Linked DNA regions of Drosophila melanogaster. Changing the gene in region 2 together with the main gene of any one other region gives a genetic interaction. Each region holds a gene or a part of one and is shown on either strand. Other genes may lie near its edges.

Region 1 (7,800 bases), about 18 Mb from region 2:
ATGGATTGGATGACAACGGAATCGAGATGGATTGAAACCGGGATCTGGAGCTGGAGCTGAAGCTGATTGGAGGTCCAATCTGCCAAGCTTAAGCTCGATCATGTAACCCAACATCGTATCTGTGATTAGTGTTGATTCCATTGATATCCAGTTACTTTGGCATATGATTCAATATATTCTGTTTGGATATGTAAGCGAATAAAAAACTGATGCTAATCTTATAAAATCCTAATTATTGTCATACTTAATAGAATCTTTATTAATTCCTTCATAAATCTCTTTGCCCGTCGTTAAGTGTCCCAGCCTTCTTTCATGGCGGCAATTAGCATTTATCAGCGCGGCGTACAGGTGAGACAGAAAGAAGTGTGTTTGCTGCCTCGTCTGCCCGTTGCAGTTGCGAGTCGCGAATTTATCACTTCTCGCTGCCGCCGCTCATAACTCATACGCCTCGTTGCCGCGGCGCCTAGTTGGGCAGTAATTGTGCGGCAATTTCTGAGCGCTTGCCAAAACGCAGATGCATTCGGCATTCGGCAGGAATCCCGCTGCAGGGGGCGAACTTTCTCCGTAAGCTGCTTAGAACCCTTATCAAAGTCAGGCTTAAATGGGATTGGGATGGATTTCGGTTGTGGCTGCGGTTTGTGGCTACCGAGCGACACCCACAAGTTCGAAGCAATTTCACTTTTGGGCCCAGAGTGCATGCGCAATTAGCTTTCATCAATCAAAGTGCTCAACAATGCAGCTAGACAAATTGGACGCACGCAGCAGCAGCAGCAGCAGCAGCAGTTGGCCAAGATACAGATACGGATGGAAAGAAAGTTTTGACCAAAAGGGCTTAGCCCGAGCCCAAATGTCTGTAAGTGATTATCTGCCCCAGGTCGGCATGCGTTTTTTGGCTCTCTGGCTCCGTGGCTCTGTGGCTTTTGTTTGGGCTTTCTCTGGCGCGTTAATTTGTCGGTTTCTCGAGTTGCATTAATTCTTTTTCGCTTTGTCGTTTATAAATTTGCTTTTCGTTTCGGGTTTGTCTTACTGTCAAATTGTGTCAACACGGCCGCCTTGCGATTGTCTGGGGTCCTCCACTTCGCCCTCCTTCCTCCCTGCAATTGGCCCAGTGTCGCGCCTGGCAGCCCGAAATGCATTGCCTTGTCGTATTTGTCCCATCGGAAGACAGCGAAGACAGCGAAGACAGAAGACGGCGGACAGAAGAAAGACCCTGCCCTCCCAATGCGGTGGTGGTGCGTCTCTTTCTGGTCTTCGCCCAGCGTATCGTTTTGTCGCCCAAGTATGGCCGACATTTAATTAGACACTTTTTGGCAGGGCTTTTGCATCAAATTGTGGCTAGGGCTAATTGCAGATTGGTAGTTGAACTGTGGAAATTAAGAAGTTATCTGAAATTCATTTGGGTTTTAGTCAAAACGCACGACAAGCCGATTCTTTGTATAAGGTAAATTTTATTTAATTTGTTTAGATTTGCTTTACAGTTTTCTTTGTTTGTGTATATTTAATTTACGAATATATAAATTAAAATGAGAACATTGCGTTTGCCTTACAATTAATAGCATTCATATCTTCTACGCTCTCGGAAGCGAACCCGTGGAATTCGCTACAAGTTGGTTGATTTCGGGAGGCTTTCCTCTGGGGATTGTGCAGGTAAAGCGATGCTTGATTCTCCGACTTACGAACTAGAGATTTGCTAATGTTGTGTGTCAAGCAGGGCTGGGCGTGGGAGTGGGCGTGGCATCAAGCATAGAGCGAAGCCGCACACCGTCGAGAACTGTACACATTTGAATTAGATGTATAAATAGTTAATAGGTTTTGAAGTTTGTATTTTCGTTCTTCGTTCCTGCGTGTTATTCTTTTTTACATTAATATTTTTAACATTTTTCTTTGGCTTAACTTTATGATAGATATAATGTATAAGATTATGTATAAAAACGTGCGAAATATATATGTTACAGTCGTTAAGAATTAGAATTAAGTACAAAAATATGCTTTACAGTGATAACAAGAAATGGGGACAGAGTAAATGTACAAGGAATGCCACAGCGATCGGCAGAAGAGTTTGGTCTCCAAGCGATGCAGCGGCCCACCAACTTGGCGCGACCGCTCCATCGTCTACGGCCAGAGAGGACAATGAGGAGCAGGAGGAGAATGAACCTTACGAGCTACCCACACAGCATTTGTATCTTTGATTTAGCAGAGTCTCGCTCACACGCACACACTTACGGCTGGAGCACTCACACACTCATACACACACACACACGAGCACTCAAGCATTCAAGCACTCACGCACACACAGAACTCGCAGGACACTGGCTTTAGCTGGCAGCGGCTACAGCGAGTGTTCGTTGGTGTTGAGGAAGCTGCGGCAGACGCGGCTCACTTCGGGATTGGCGTGGTTCATTAGCTGCATGTAGATCTGCTTGTGTAGCTGCAGCTCGTTGGTCATCTCACCAAGCTGCCGAATGAGGGCGTCCTTCTCCTTGAGCAGGCTCTTCACGCGCTCCTCCACCTCGCGGGAGCGCACCTTAGCCTTCTCCCGGCTCTTGCGCACCGCTATGTTGTTCCGCTCCCGCCGCCTGCGGTACTCATCCGTGCCCTTGTCCACATGCTTGTTGCTGTGCTTGCGGTGCTGCTGCTGTTGCTGGTGCTGCTGATGCTGCTGCTGCGCGTGCAGCTTGCTGTGCTGCTTGAGCAGATTGTGTGCTCCTGCTGCGGCCGCCAGGTGGGGCAGGTTGTGGTGCGCCAGGACGTTGGCCGTCGTCAGGTTGGTGAACTGGCTGCCGTTGCTGCTGCCCGTGCTGCCGTTGCTCCCGTTGCTGCTGGGCGTGGTGTTGCCTCCGTTGAGTGGGTTTCCGCCCCCGGTCAAGCCATTCGCCCCCGATCCGTAGCCGTTGTACAGGCCTGCTCCATTGCCCATGAAGGCGGCCTGCTGGCTAGCCGCCTCCTGCAGGTGCCGCCTGTACTCGGGGTCGATGGGCTCCTCCTTGATCGTGCTGGAGTCGGAGCCCACGGAGCTGTTCTCGTCGCTGGAATTGTTGTAGGTGGCGTGCACGGGCTGCGGCATGTAGGCCAGGGCGCCTCCTGCTCCGCCACCGCCTCCCCTGCCCCCGTAGCCGTGCTGGTTCCGCAGGGTCTGCTGCTGCAGGACCTTCGCCGCCGCCGAGACCATTCCGCTCGGCGGCAGGGTGGCCGAGAGTCCGCCCGGACTGGTCACCATGTCGCTGAAGATGCCCAGCGTTTCCGTGTCCCTGAACTGGTCGTCTATCAGGTGCTGCAGGTCGAGCGTGATCTCCTGGGTGGTCAGCTCGTCCAGGTCCGTCTGAGTGGAGTACTGCTGCAGCATCTGCTTCTGCAGCAGGTTGTTGTTGCTGCCCAATGCGGCGACCTGTTGCATCTGGTGCATGGCGTGCTGCTTGACCAGGAGTGCCGCGTCCTGCGACGTGTTGTTGTTCGCATCGGTAGTCTGCTGCTGGGGTTGCTGCTGCTGCTGTTGTTGCTGCTGCTGTTGCTGCTGCTGTTGCTGCTGCTGTTGTTGCTGCTGCTGCTGCGCCGTGGACATGGCCGTCAGTGTGATCTGGCCAATGGTGGCCTGCTGCAGGGGAGGCTCCTTCTTGAGGTCCAGCTGGGCCAATGTCTGAACGGCATCGGCGTACATCTGCGGCGACTCCATGTTCAGCATTTTCAGTTGCGCGAAGGAGGGTAGAATCTTGATTCCTTGTAGAGCGTTAATTTTGGCTGTTTTTAGAGTTCAGATTTGGGAATAAACTTTTGCTCGTTTGGCGCCTAAAGCATTGCACTGAGGTAAGAAGTGGGTCTTTGGAAATGTTCGACTCGGATAGCTCGCTATTCCGTATGCTTCATCTTAGGCTGCCTGGGTGGTCACTGCAGCCGAGCATCGTACTATTGCTTATTATGTTTCCGATTCTTAGCGCAAAATGTTTTATTCAGTTTGTTTACTTTGTTAACTCGACACTGCACTTCTCCGGCCGCACGCGTTCGAACGACTGAAGTGCCGCGGCAGTGATGCAACAGATTTTATACGAGACGGCCTGACGACTGCCGTTGGCTAGTACTCTCGTACTCGTACACGTACGTGTGCTGGTGTTAGAAACGCTCCTGAAGAACCGTTAGCTGAGCGAGCTTTTCTTCGATTTGGATTTTCTTGGCCAGCGGAGAGCGCGCGTCCGTCGCCGACGAGTGGTAAATTGTAACTGTGACAAAACGCGAACGCGAACGCGGCAAAGTGAAAAAGTCTTTGGCGCAGCGACGCAGCCGAAGAAAAAGAAAATGAGCGGCCAGCGCATGTAACACACACACACACACACATTCACTCGTACCGCTCCACACCGAAGCCCCAAGCGTTGCCGTCGCCGTCGCCGTTACAGCAAAGCAAAGGCGGCAGCAGCACAGCACAGCACGAGCAGAGCAAAAGCAAAGCAAGAGCAGGCAAAGCACAAGTAAGCCAGGCAAAGGCAAAGGCAACTACCTGTGGATGAGAGCGAGAGCCGCGATCAGGTAAAAAAGCAAGAGTTTTCCCAATCACTTTTACTCTCGTCGCAAGGCAATTCACTGGGCCATTCTTGTGGTTGCTGTGCGGGCCAAAAGCACGAATGCAAGCAAAGTGCATTTGGTACGAAGCTGGGAGATACTTCTTCAGTTTCCGGAACTTAATATCATATTTGATAGGATAATTACATTTTTTATATAGAATTTATTACATTTATACATGTTCCACATAAGTTAGTTTAGATATTAGTTTAGATATTAATTGTTTAATTAAGACCCCATCCTAGAATCCAGTATTAGTTATGCGCTGATGCAGTGAATTTCATGATAAAACTCAATGCAACGCACGATCGCGTGACGTCACACAAAAGGGAGCCCCAAGGCACCCACACAAGCTCAAGCGAGCACAGACACCAGCAGCGCGCGACGTCGGCAGCGCAGCCAGCGCTCATTATTCCTTGGCTCTCGCTTTCGTTTTCATTTTCATTTTCGGTTCCGTCGCTTTTGCTTTTTTTGGGAGAAGAGCCGCACAGCCGCAGCGAGAAGCAACAACACCACGCCCGCACACACCGGCACTCCGCTGCGTAACCCCCGACCCCCATTTTGGGGCCTTGCCCACTCCGATTTGTGTTTGGGCTTCGACTCGCTTTGCGCCTTAGAAATACAGAAAAGCAAAAAAAAACACAGAAGTGCAGTTACTTGGTGGATCGGGGGATTGGGGGCTTGGGGATTGGGGCCTGTTTTTGGCGCGCATGCGTGACTGCGCAGTGGAAGCGCAACGCATCGCGGAGCTTTCACGTAATAGGCAGCGACGTCTTATTAAAATTAAGACTGTGTTATGAAATTCATAAAAATTAGCACGGCTCGTAGTTTTGTTTATTTAAATGCAGCGATTTGTGAAGTCGCCTTCTCCACTTTTCCCCCATTGGCGCTCTTCTGCTTGGTGCTCACTCCGCTAACTCTGCTCACTCTGCTGACTCTCCTGAGTTTTCGAGTCTGCAATTTGGGTCAAGTTGTCGTTTACTTTCCGAAGGTGCGTCCCCTGCTTTCGGCCCCGCCTCTCGCCCCCGTCTTCTGCCTTCGTGTATGTACCTTTTGTTTACCCGGACTTTATTAATCATACGCCCCGTGCGCCGTTGCACGATAAGAGGGTATTCCGCTGTCGATGACAGGACAGCCACTTTTCTTCGCTTATCAGTCAAGCTATTGCAGCGAATCGGAAATATCGCCGATATCGATGACTGCATCGAGATTGTGCAAAAGTGCTTCCTTGTGCGTCCACAAAGATATTCTTCTGGTCGGGTGTATTTCAAAACGCATTCAACGCACCCTTATTGTTCTTGGGGGATTGCATTGTGCGGTCTGGTTACCCAAGAACTGATTCCATATCGATCGATGGGAAAGGTGATGAAATCTGCAATTTAAATGAGGCAAGATCGATCCATGTGCACCTTATCTTATCAGATTGTTTATGGAGAAACTACTGGTTAAATGGGATTAAAGCAAAGCAAAGTCATTTATTTATTTGCTTATCCTCCTGCTAACTGGAATCGTCCAAGGCTTACCTAAAGTTACCTATTTATAAAAACTTGAAAGCATAAATTTTTTAAAATAAATTTAAAAAAAAAACACTTCAAATTAGCAAGTAGGTGGACTGGCTATAAATACCAGCCCTTTGGCCAACAAGAAGGTGTTAGCCCTGATAAGATTAAAAACGCAAATACCATTGGCCCCCAGTAATTTCACTTTTTAAAATTGAGTAGGGTATTCATAGAGATGCTAGCATAAATCATAGATATTTACCCATTGATACCAAACTTGGAGAAAGTCTAGCAGATAAGCAGCTCTTTATCACCTTGATCCATTTCAGCGTTTTCCCAAAAGGGAAATTGTAGGCGTATTTATCTGCCGTCGACAACGCCCACGCGCAAAGTGCCTAAGAGTTTTATTTATATATTTTGGCAAACGACTGATAAGACGGCCAAAAGCCGCGAATTCGTAAACAAAACAAATACGAGTAGCGGCCACAATTCACAATTCACAACTGGCGTTCGTTGCACTCTGCAAAAAGTTGTCTGACACATGCGAAACTCCGACTGAATTGTGTTTATAAACACGGCCATAATTGGGAGTTTTGGCCAATGATTTCTAGACGGCGTTGTGTTTTGTTTTGTCTTCATTTTATTCGCCACTCGCAGTCAACTTATCTCGATGACGCGTAGCCAATTTAACTCTGCACTTCCTCAAATCCGAGCTCAATCGAAGTGAACTCGAGTCGATGGGGTTGGGTTACACACTCGCTTCATTCTCACGGCCTTGTTTATAGGAAAGACCTTTCTAGGAAGCTTTTTTGTTTTGGTGCGGTGAATTTTGTACTGATAGAATAGATATTAATTCCATAAGTACGCTTCTTTATTGACTCATCGCAGCAGATAAGTTCATACTTTTCACAAAACCCAGTTAGCCAAAACTCCGGTGGTTTCCACCTAATTGCAGTGTACTTAACACCATTTAAATGCAACCAGTTCGACGACCCCAAACTCTTTTCCAAAGGGGATTCTCGTGCTTTTGCGCTTCACTTCTGTAATTCTGACTCTACTTCCACAGAAAACGAGCCCGTTCCCTGTCGCCGTGTGCTGATGAGTACAGAAATTAATAATATTTAGTGCTGATGCGAGGCGATTCGGCAATGAAAGTCGGCTCTTCGGCGAAAACTTTTCGCTGCCCGCTGCTTAGAAAAGTCTTGCCAATTAATAGGAGCGTGAGAATAAAACGCGCGAGCCATCGAGTTCAACCAAAAATAACAAATATTTCAATTATTATATTTTAATCTAATCAAATTTTAAAACATCATTTTGTTTCATTGTTGTCCATGTGTAATTATATTTATAACAATAAAATCTATTTTAAAAATTATGTAAAACTTAAGCATATATTAACTTACTACTTATTTTCAAAGCTATTAGCAAATGGCGCGTAGAAAGTTAAAATACGTTTGAACAATTTGAATTTGAATTTAAGCAGCGCTTGTAAAGCAGTTTTATATCGATAGGTATACTGCTTGCTTAAAAGTTCTCCGATAACTTATGTGGCGCCATCTAGGCAAGAAGTTATGAGTATATGGTGCACTGCTTGGGAAAGGTGACCTGCTTGTCAGTTGGCGCCAATTCATGCAATTCAAAATCTGAAAATACGGCAAGTAATATATTTTAATCATTTATATTAGGTAAAAAGACTTATGTATAGTATTGATAAAAACAAAAGTATTTTATATACGATCCGAGGGAATTTTTG
Region 2 (7,586 bases):
GTCATCGCGCGATGTTGCCGCTGTCATTGCAACTGCAATTGCTGATGCTGTTGCTGTTGCAGTGCTGCCGTTTCGGAGTCACTTAAACGAGATAAATCAACGTGGGCGATTACACAATATCTCAGGGTGATTGTCGTCCCCTGCCACCCGCTGACCGCCTTGCATGACTTGGCGAAAAGTGCAACAGCAACAGCAACAGCAAGAGCACCAGCAACAGCCCACAATCAGCAAAGCAAAGCAAAAGCAAAGGCATGGGCAAAGACTCGCGCCATTGGAGCAGTGGGTCGCTCTCGGGGTCTCGTGGAAATATGTGGAAAAACGTGGAAAACCTGTAAGACCAAAGTCGACAAAATCAATAGCACACACACACACTCGCTCAGTCCGGCGACACTGCAAAAAGCAAAGACGACGCCAGCAGTTGCAGCAGCCAACAATTGCGTTGCTGAAGTAGGCAGTTACTCTTGCAGTTGTGTTTCAGCTTTATGAGCGACAATTAAAGTTAAATGCCTCCGCTTCGAAGCTGCGGATGTTACTCGCTGGTTATACTCAAATGCATACGTGCACATGTTTTGGTTTTTGTTTTGCTTTTCGAAAATAAATACATTTTAATGACTACGCTCAGTGGAAGTGGGATTGTTTTTTGTGGTTTAGGAACACGTTAAAATGAGCCAGCCAACGAGAGAGTTTAGTTTAAAAAATCAGCATTTTGACAAGATTCAAATTTTAGGCGCACAGCTCTGGAAAGATTCAGTGCAAAGATTCGGACAAAACGTAACGAAATCGAAATAAAAACCGAGCCAAACACAAAGCTACAACAAAATGCAGTGCTTTTTGGCGGCGACAAAAAAGTACACACACACAAAAACCAAAAAGGGAAGAAAAACAGAAACAGAAACAAACAAAATAAATAAATCAAAAGGAGTTCAACGACCAAAAGTTTAAATGATTTCCGACTGCCAACGAAGAGAAAGAAGCAACGCCGAAATCGCTCACCAGTCAACGAGGGAACGCGATCTTGGGGAGGTGATACGAGGACGGTGATAAGGCCAAGCCAATTGACAAAACGCTCCCCACAAAACATTTGAAACATGCTGCTGCGAAACCAGACACAAATGCCACATTGGCGTTTAGAAGATATGTATGGAATCAGAACCATTTCTGAAAACCGAAACATAACTTAAACATAATCGACAATTGTGCAGCAGATCGGCAGAGAGCACCGTCCATATTCAAGATTAATTTCCCCGAGGGGGTGGTTTCGGTTTCGGACTCGTATCTGCATCTATATCTACATCGATGCAGCCAGGAAGCTGTTTTCGTTTGCTCAACCGCCCACGCGCCGCATGGAAAATCAGCAGCTCTGCTACTGCGGCGCATCAGCCGCCATTTGCGGCTGATAAATGAACGCATGTTGTGCGTATCTGCCAGATACAAATGCCTGCAGTTCGTTGCGGCCTTTGCTCTTCCTTTGTTTCCATTCCACTGCTGCCTCTACTGTGCTGCGCATTTTTAATGAGCGGAAATTAGTTGGCATTGCGGCAAGAGGTTTTGTGGCTGCCCATTTGAGTAGATACAAATGTATCTGTAAGCCATAAATTTGCAATCTATGAGGCACGTGCCTCGTAGGCCCCTTACAAGACTGGCACTTTGCTGTTCTGTACAATTATCGGAACGATTACCTGTCAGATAAATTCAGCTCAATCGGCTATTAGCTTTTTCCAGATCTCGCTGAGCATTGCAGATTTGGTTCATACGTTTATCATGATTGGGATGGGCTGCATTCTATTTGTGTCTTACGGATCACACTTTTGGATCACTTTTTGGCAGTACAGCGCGCGTGTATATTTAGAGAATTTTCTTTGGCTCAGACTTGGCACAGCCAGCCGGTTCGCAGATACACTTTTGCATTTCCCTTTATAGTTAGGCAGTGCATCTAAGAAATACATTTGGCAGCTTGCATTGTTAAGACGCTTAATGATGCCATTAAATACGTCGATGAAAAGGGGACGGGGTAAGCTGCTATTGAATGTCTTTATGGCGTATACTAAAGGTGTTTATGCAAAAAGTTTATTTTTTATTATTGTTAAATAAGTCTTATTGTGTTCCTTAAAAATTTTAAGTTTTCAATATATTTCATAAATTAGATACGACCATCGTGCCTGCCTTTGCATTTAAATAAACCTCAAAAAATCTCAAATTACGACTAGAATTTAGAACTGTCGAAGAGCAACGTACTTCCCTATCGCTGCAAAATGCCAAACTTCAGTAGTGTGCCCACGACATGCACTCACCTGTCTGATGACTCCGACGAGTCGTACCGATCTAGACATCTCTTCTTGGACCCCTTTGTGCCACGTTCTCCTCCAGTTGTTCTTGGGGCTGTTGCCACCGTTGTTGTTTTGCCGACTCCCACTCGAGATGTTGTTGCAGTCTTCCTGGCGCCCTGGTAGAGCTGAGATCGCAATGCGTTTATATCCAATTTGGCGGCTTGGGCTCCAAACCCGCCAAAAACTCCGCCCACCCCCCGTTTGGTACCCTGCACGATTCCAATAGTGCTGGGCGAGGTAAAGGGCCGAGCGGGTTTGGCCGGGGGCTTCAGTTCAATATTGGAGGACAGAGACGGGCTTTTGTTGATGGGTGGTGTGGGTGGTGGGCTTTTGGGAGTAAGTATCGGGGAGGCGGTGGTTGTACTGGCTGGTGCTGTTATAGGTGGTGTGGCTTCTGGGCTACTGTTGTTGCCGACGCCGGCGCCAATTGTCAAACTGTTTGTATTGACGCTATTTTTCAGCTGATCAAACAGTGACAAAGCCGCGCTGGAGGTTAAAGTTTTCCGTCCCGTTGCTCCTGCTGTTTTGACAGAGAGTGGGGCCAGAGGGGCTGCTACTTCAGCTGCCGACTCCTTGGTCTTTAATGCCGTATCCTTTGGCTGAGTGACTGACATTTTCCCTCTATGTTTGCTGCACTATTGCTATAACGACGCTTTTAATTGGTGTTAACTGCTGCCAGAACTCTGGATCTGCTTTAGCACACATCTGCTATTCCCAACGGCTTATTGTTAGTCGACGGAAAGCCAATTTGAATTGCATTAATCTGAAAGTTGCTCGTCAGCAATTTTTAGCCGCACTGCCCTTAAATGGTGTTACCATTCCGATTTTCCCCATCAGTTTGCACAAATTGGTATATATATATCGCCATGAACTTGCATTTTACGACTTTCGTGGGTCGGACTATCGAGTTACGAGAAGTAAAAATATTTATACAAATTAAACAAAAATTCATTTAAATCAATTGCACTTGTATGACTTTTGGCATTAAGCTGCACTTCACTTCTGCACTTATGACACACATTTTTCAATTCGATTGATATTTCAACGAGAAACTACTTGATCATCATAAAATTAATCGACGTCGCGGGTTCGGTTTTGATTTGCGTGGGGTGGTTGGATTTGCGATCCGTTACAAAGTGTTACACTGTGCTTTATGGATTTGTGAATGGCCAGTAGTTATTTCACTGTCGGTTGTTTCCGGTGCACACCCGAAATTCATTCTGCAAGATTGGCCACGCGGTGCTCGCAAGTTCAAGAAAGCGACAATGAAACCGAATTCAAAACCGAAACGGGTAAGTCAGGTTAACCTCCTAGTCGCTGTGACTGCGAGCCAGCTTTTGTTTATTGACAACAATGACGGGCGAACAAACACATCGCAATCTAATCAAATGCATTCCAATGTGCCTCAGCAAACTAGCGATTTACTTATCGCGGGGCCAACTTGTCTGCCGCGCGTACCATTCATAATTAATGTAGTGGTCACTGCTCTTAATAGCCGCCAATTGCAGTATAACCAAATTAAACAAAGTCTAAGAAGCGCTGCACTGCAAGCTAAGAATTCCGAAACGCCATCGATTGGCAAGCGAAAAACTGCGATCTCCCCACGAAAAAGCTGCGGGCTGCTCTTGCTCTGCCTGCCGACTGACTGACGAGTGGGGCCAAGTGGAGTGGGAGTGGACCGAGCGCTGCGGCCCCACCCGAAGAGGTAGCCGACGAGAAGCGAGGCGGCGGACCGAGTGCCAGCCGAATGGCTTAGCCAACTAGAACCGGGCACAAATCAAGATACGAAGCACGCGAAGCAAGAACGAAGGCAACGAACTGCCGTTCGTTTTAATAGGGGCTCTCCGACGAGCTGAGGGTGAAGAGGAGAAGAAAGGGCCGCGTGCAGTGTGTTCACTTTTGATTTCTGTGCAGCGGCAGCAGGTTTTCGAGAGCGGGACCAAGAGAGAGGGTCGCGTGGGGAGCTTGTTGCGCTACAATGTGAGTTCTTTCTGTGTGTGTGAGTGTGTGCATTTGAACTTCTGGGGAAGTTCAGAGATTCCGTATTTGAATTTCAGCATTTGGCGGCTGGCTAGATGGGCAGCAACTTCCGATGTGTCCGCGGTGGCAAGTTCGCTCACACACAAGCGACCCAAGCTGCAGCTACCTGTTGATATGTGTGGGAACTAATCAGAATACAAGAGGTTCCTGCGGTTCGATAAAACTCAAAACCGGTTCATCCAAGCGAGCATGGTTATATGGGAACTTGAGCTCGAATTTGAAGCTAAATACAGATGTGTGGAGAATATGCACCCATAACCAATACCTTGGCTATATGTATCTGTTTTGGCCCACACTTAATAAGGCCAAAAAAGTCAAGAACAAAAACAAAAAAAACACGAGTCTTGTATAAAAAAAGATAAAAGTAAACAAAGTTATGGCAAAAACCAAACAATAACAAAACAGCAAGGCAGCCAGACCAGCTCTCTCACAAACACAATCTAAAGTCGCAACTGTTTTTAAAGACCAAAGAAAGGGAGGGAGCGAGGAATCAAACACAACACGTGCTTTTATTACGCTACAAGCAATGGTACGTACGTCTGTGCGATGCAACTGAGGGAGACTGCAAAAACAGGAGGGACAAAGAAGACATGTTTACGCGAGAATTTTGCGGGTGTGTGCGAGTGCGACAAAACTCGTTTGGTGTCCAGTTTTACTCTACCAATAAAATGTTTGTTCCTATTGAACGTTTTACACTGCACATACTTGGGATCACTTTAATTAAGTGAATGAATTCATTTCCGAGGAATGCATCTAATACAATCAAAATGTTTTAGCTCACAAAAGCTCTGCAAAAAATAGCTCACTCAACCATTGTAAATGCAAAAATACACTGCGTAAGAGTGACAAGTTAAATAAGTTTATAAGCTTGCGTTCGCATTTTGCGCTGCATTTTCCGGAAAGCTATTAAACTGCAGCAAACGGAGAGAGAGAGTGAAAATAGGATTGAGACAATTGAGAGAAAAACAACCATAATGCTGCATTCATACTTCGCTGAATATTTTTGTAGATGCATATACATATGTGTAGATAATATTAAATTAAATTATTAAATATAAAAATAAAATATAATCAAACATTTCCTCAATAAAATATCTAAGCTGGCAATTATACTGGAGCCCATCACAATTAAAAAAAAATTATGGGTCTTTTAAATGCTCTCAGTGTAAAGCTCAGATTGCCACAGCATACAGCTTTTGTCAGCGATTACGTCCAAATAAACAGTTATGCCTTTTCAGTATTTTTATAGATAATTCCAAAATTACATAAGTGGGCATGTAAACTAAGTAAGGAATCAAACCAGTTTAAAATTGATAGCGAACTGCATGATGTTCCTTGACCATCAACGGGAAAATTGGTTAACCAACGCAAAGTCAGTTTAATTACGATAAAAAAATAGACTCATAAATAATCACATATCTAAAACTTCCGAACGCATAAACGAAGACAGAAACCTTTATGTTAAATAAATTTTTCACATCAACTCCATGCTAAATATTTTCCGTTCGACTCCAATTTAATGTGTATTAATACGACTTTAAAAAAGGTTTTCCGCACGTTTGAAAAGGCATTTAAAAAGCTTATTTATTTAAAATGTTTAGCTGCATGGATTGATCAAACAAGAAAAAGAAAAATTTGATTACATATTTTTCATTTTTAATTTATTGATCTTAATTTATTTTTCCATATCGTTTAACACTATGTGCTCACCATAAAATGTGGAGAAACTTTTTAAAGCATAACAACATATTTCTTTATATACTTTTTATGTCTCAGGGTGTATTTTTTACCTTTTTATTTTAAATCAAAGACTTTCAAGAAATGTTTCATTTTTTTTAAAGGTTATTGTTAAAAAAGCCAATTTAGATTCTTCTCGGAAATGCGTGGGCAAGGATGTAAAAATCTGTGAATAGTGAAGGGGAAATTGTACTTATGGATTCCTTTACATTATTATTTAATAAAAAAAAAGAAAATTGATATTGGGATCAATTTTTATTAGCGGTAACAGTGACCGAATAATATTTATGATTAATATTATTAAGAATAAGAATATATATTAATATATATTAAGAATAAGAATATATGTTAATATATATTAAGAATAAGAATATATATTAATATATATTAGAAATATGAGGAAGGAAAAATATAATTAACGTATACTAAAGTAAATATGAATATAAATAAGAAATATGAAATATAAGAAATATATAATTAACGTATACTAAATTAAATATAAATATAAATAAGAAATATGAAATAAGTATAGAACTAAGCGAAGAATATGAAGGAGGAAAAGTAACGATGAAATAATAAAAAGGAATCAAAATACAATTCGATCGCCGACGTGTGAAGACGTTTTTATCGTGCTCCGCACAAAATCGGTTGTTTTGAGTGAAGTGAACGCCAAATAAAATAAACTAAATAAAAAATCTGAAAGCGAAAGAGACGCTCTATGCGATGCAAGATCGCTTAAATACATAGTGAATTGTTATCTTAAATAATAAAACTATGAGTCAGAATGACACTCGCGCCCAGCGTCAGCGCGAGCATGACGAACGCCGACTCTCAATTCAGCGCAACAACGCGTACTTCTCCTACGTCTCACCGACAATCCCAAACGCAGACATCGAGCGGTCAATAACCCATAGCCCAGGAAACCTTCTTCTACCAACAAATCAAGAAAGAGCCCGCTCCTGCTCTCCCGCTCTATTGGCTCCGACAGAAGCCCCGCTACCTCCAACAACAACAGCTGGAGAGGGACCGGCAGCCCGCTCTGCCTCGTCATCGGCTGCACCCGCTCACGGTCTGACTAAGTCAGCGAAAGCAAAACCGCTAGCAATAAACGGTACTGCTGCACTGCCAGCAAAACAAAACGAAAACGTAAACAAAAAAGCTGGGTCGACCTGGCAGACTGGAATGGACCGCTACATTACAATAAAGCGAAAGCTCAGCCCGGAAAATTCAGATTTGGGAAACAAGCCGAAAAATACACGCGACAACTCTACCTTGATCAAAAATGTAGCCCCTGCAAATACCAACAGATTTGCCTTGCTGGTAGATACCGCTGAGGACGTGCCGCTGGGATCCGTTGATATCGAACCGAAGAAAACAAAGCCTCCGCCAATATACATCCGCGAGAGGAGCACAAGCCGTCTTGTAAATACTTTGATTGGCCTTATTGGGAAAGATAGCTTTCATATAATTCCCCTCGTAAGA

What was found. A genetic interaction does not mean that the proteins touch.
Region 1: of jing (region 2) and slbo, changing one suppresses a phenotype caused by changing the other (phenotypic suppression), as found in Drosophila melanogaster (one study listed by BioGRID).

Annotation. Positions count from the first base shown.
Region 1 is NT_033778.4:24,330,092-24,337,891, forward strand, and holds slbo (slow border cells), read right to left. Parts: upstream 4,217-7,800; 5' UTR 3,680-4,216; coding exon 2,330-3,679; 3' UTR 1,431-2,329; downstream 1-1,430. UniProt on the Drosophila melanogaster protein: Required for the expression of gene products mediating border cell migration. Among the DNA sequences that this protein binds with high affinity is a conserved site within the promoter of its gene.
Region 2 is NT_033778.4:6,498,394-6,505,979, reverse strand, and holds the start of jing (jing), read right to left. Parts: upstream 3,975-7,586; 5' UTR 2,942-3,974; coding exon 2,292-2,941; intron 1-2,291.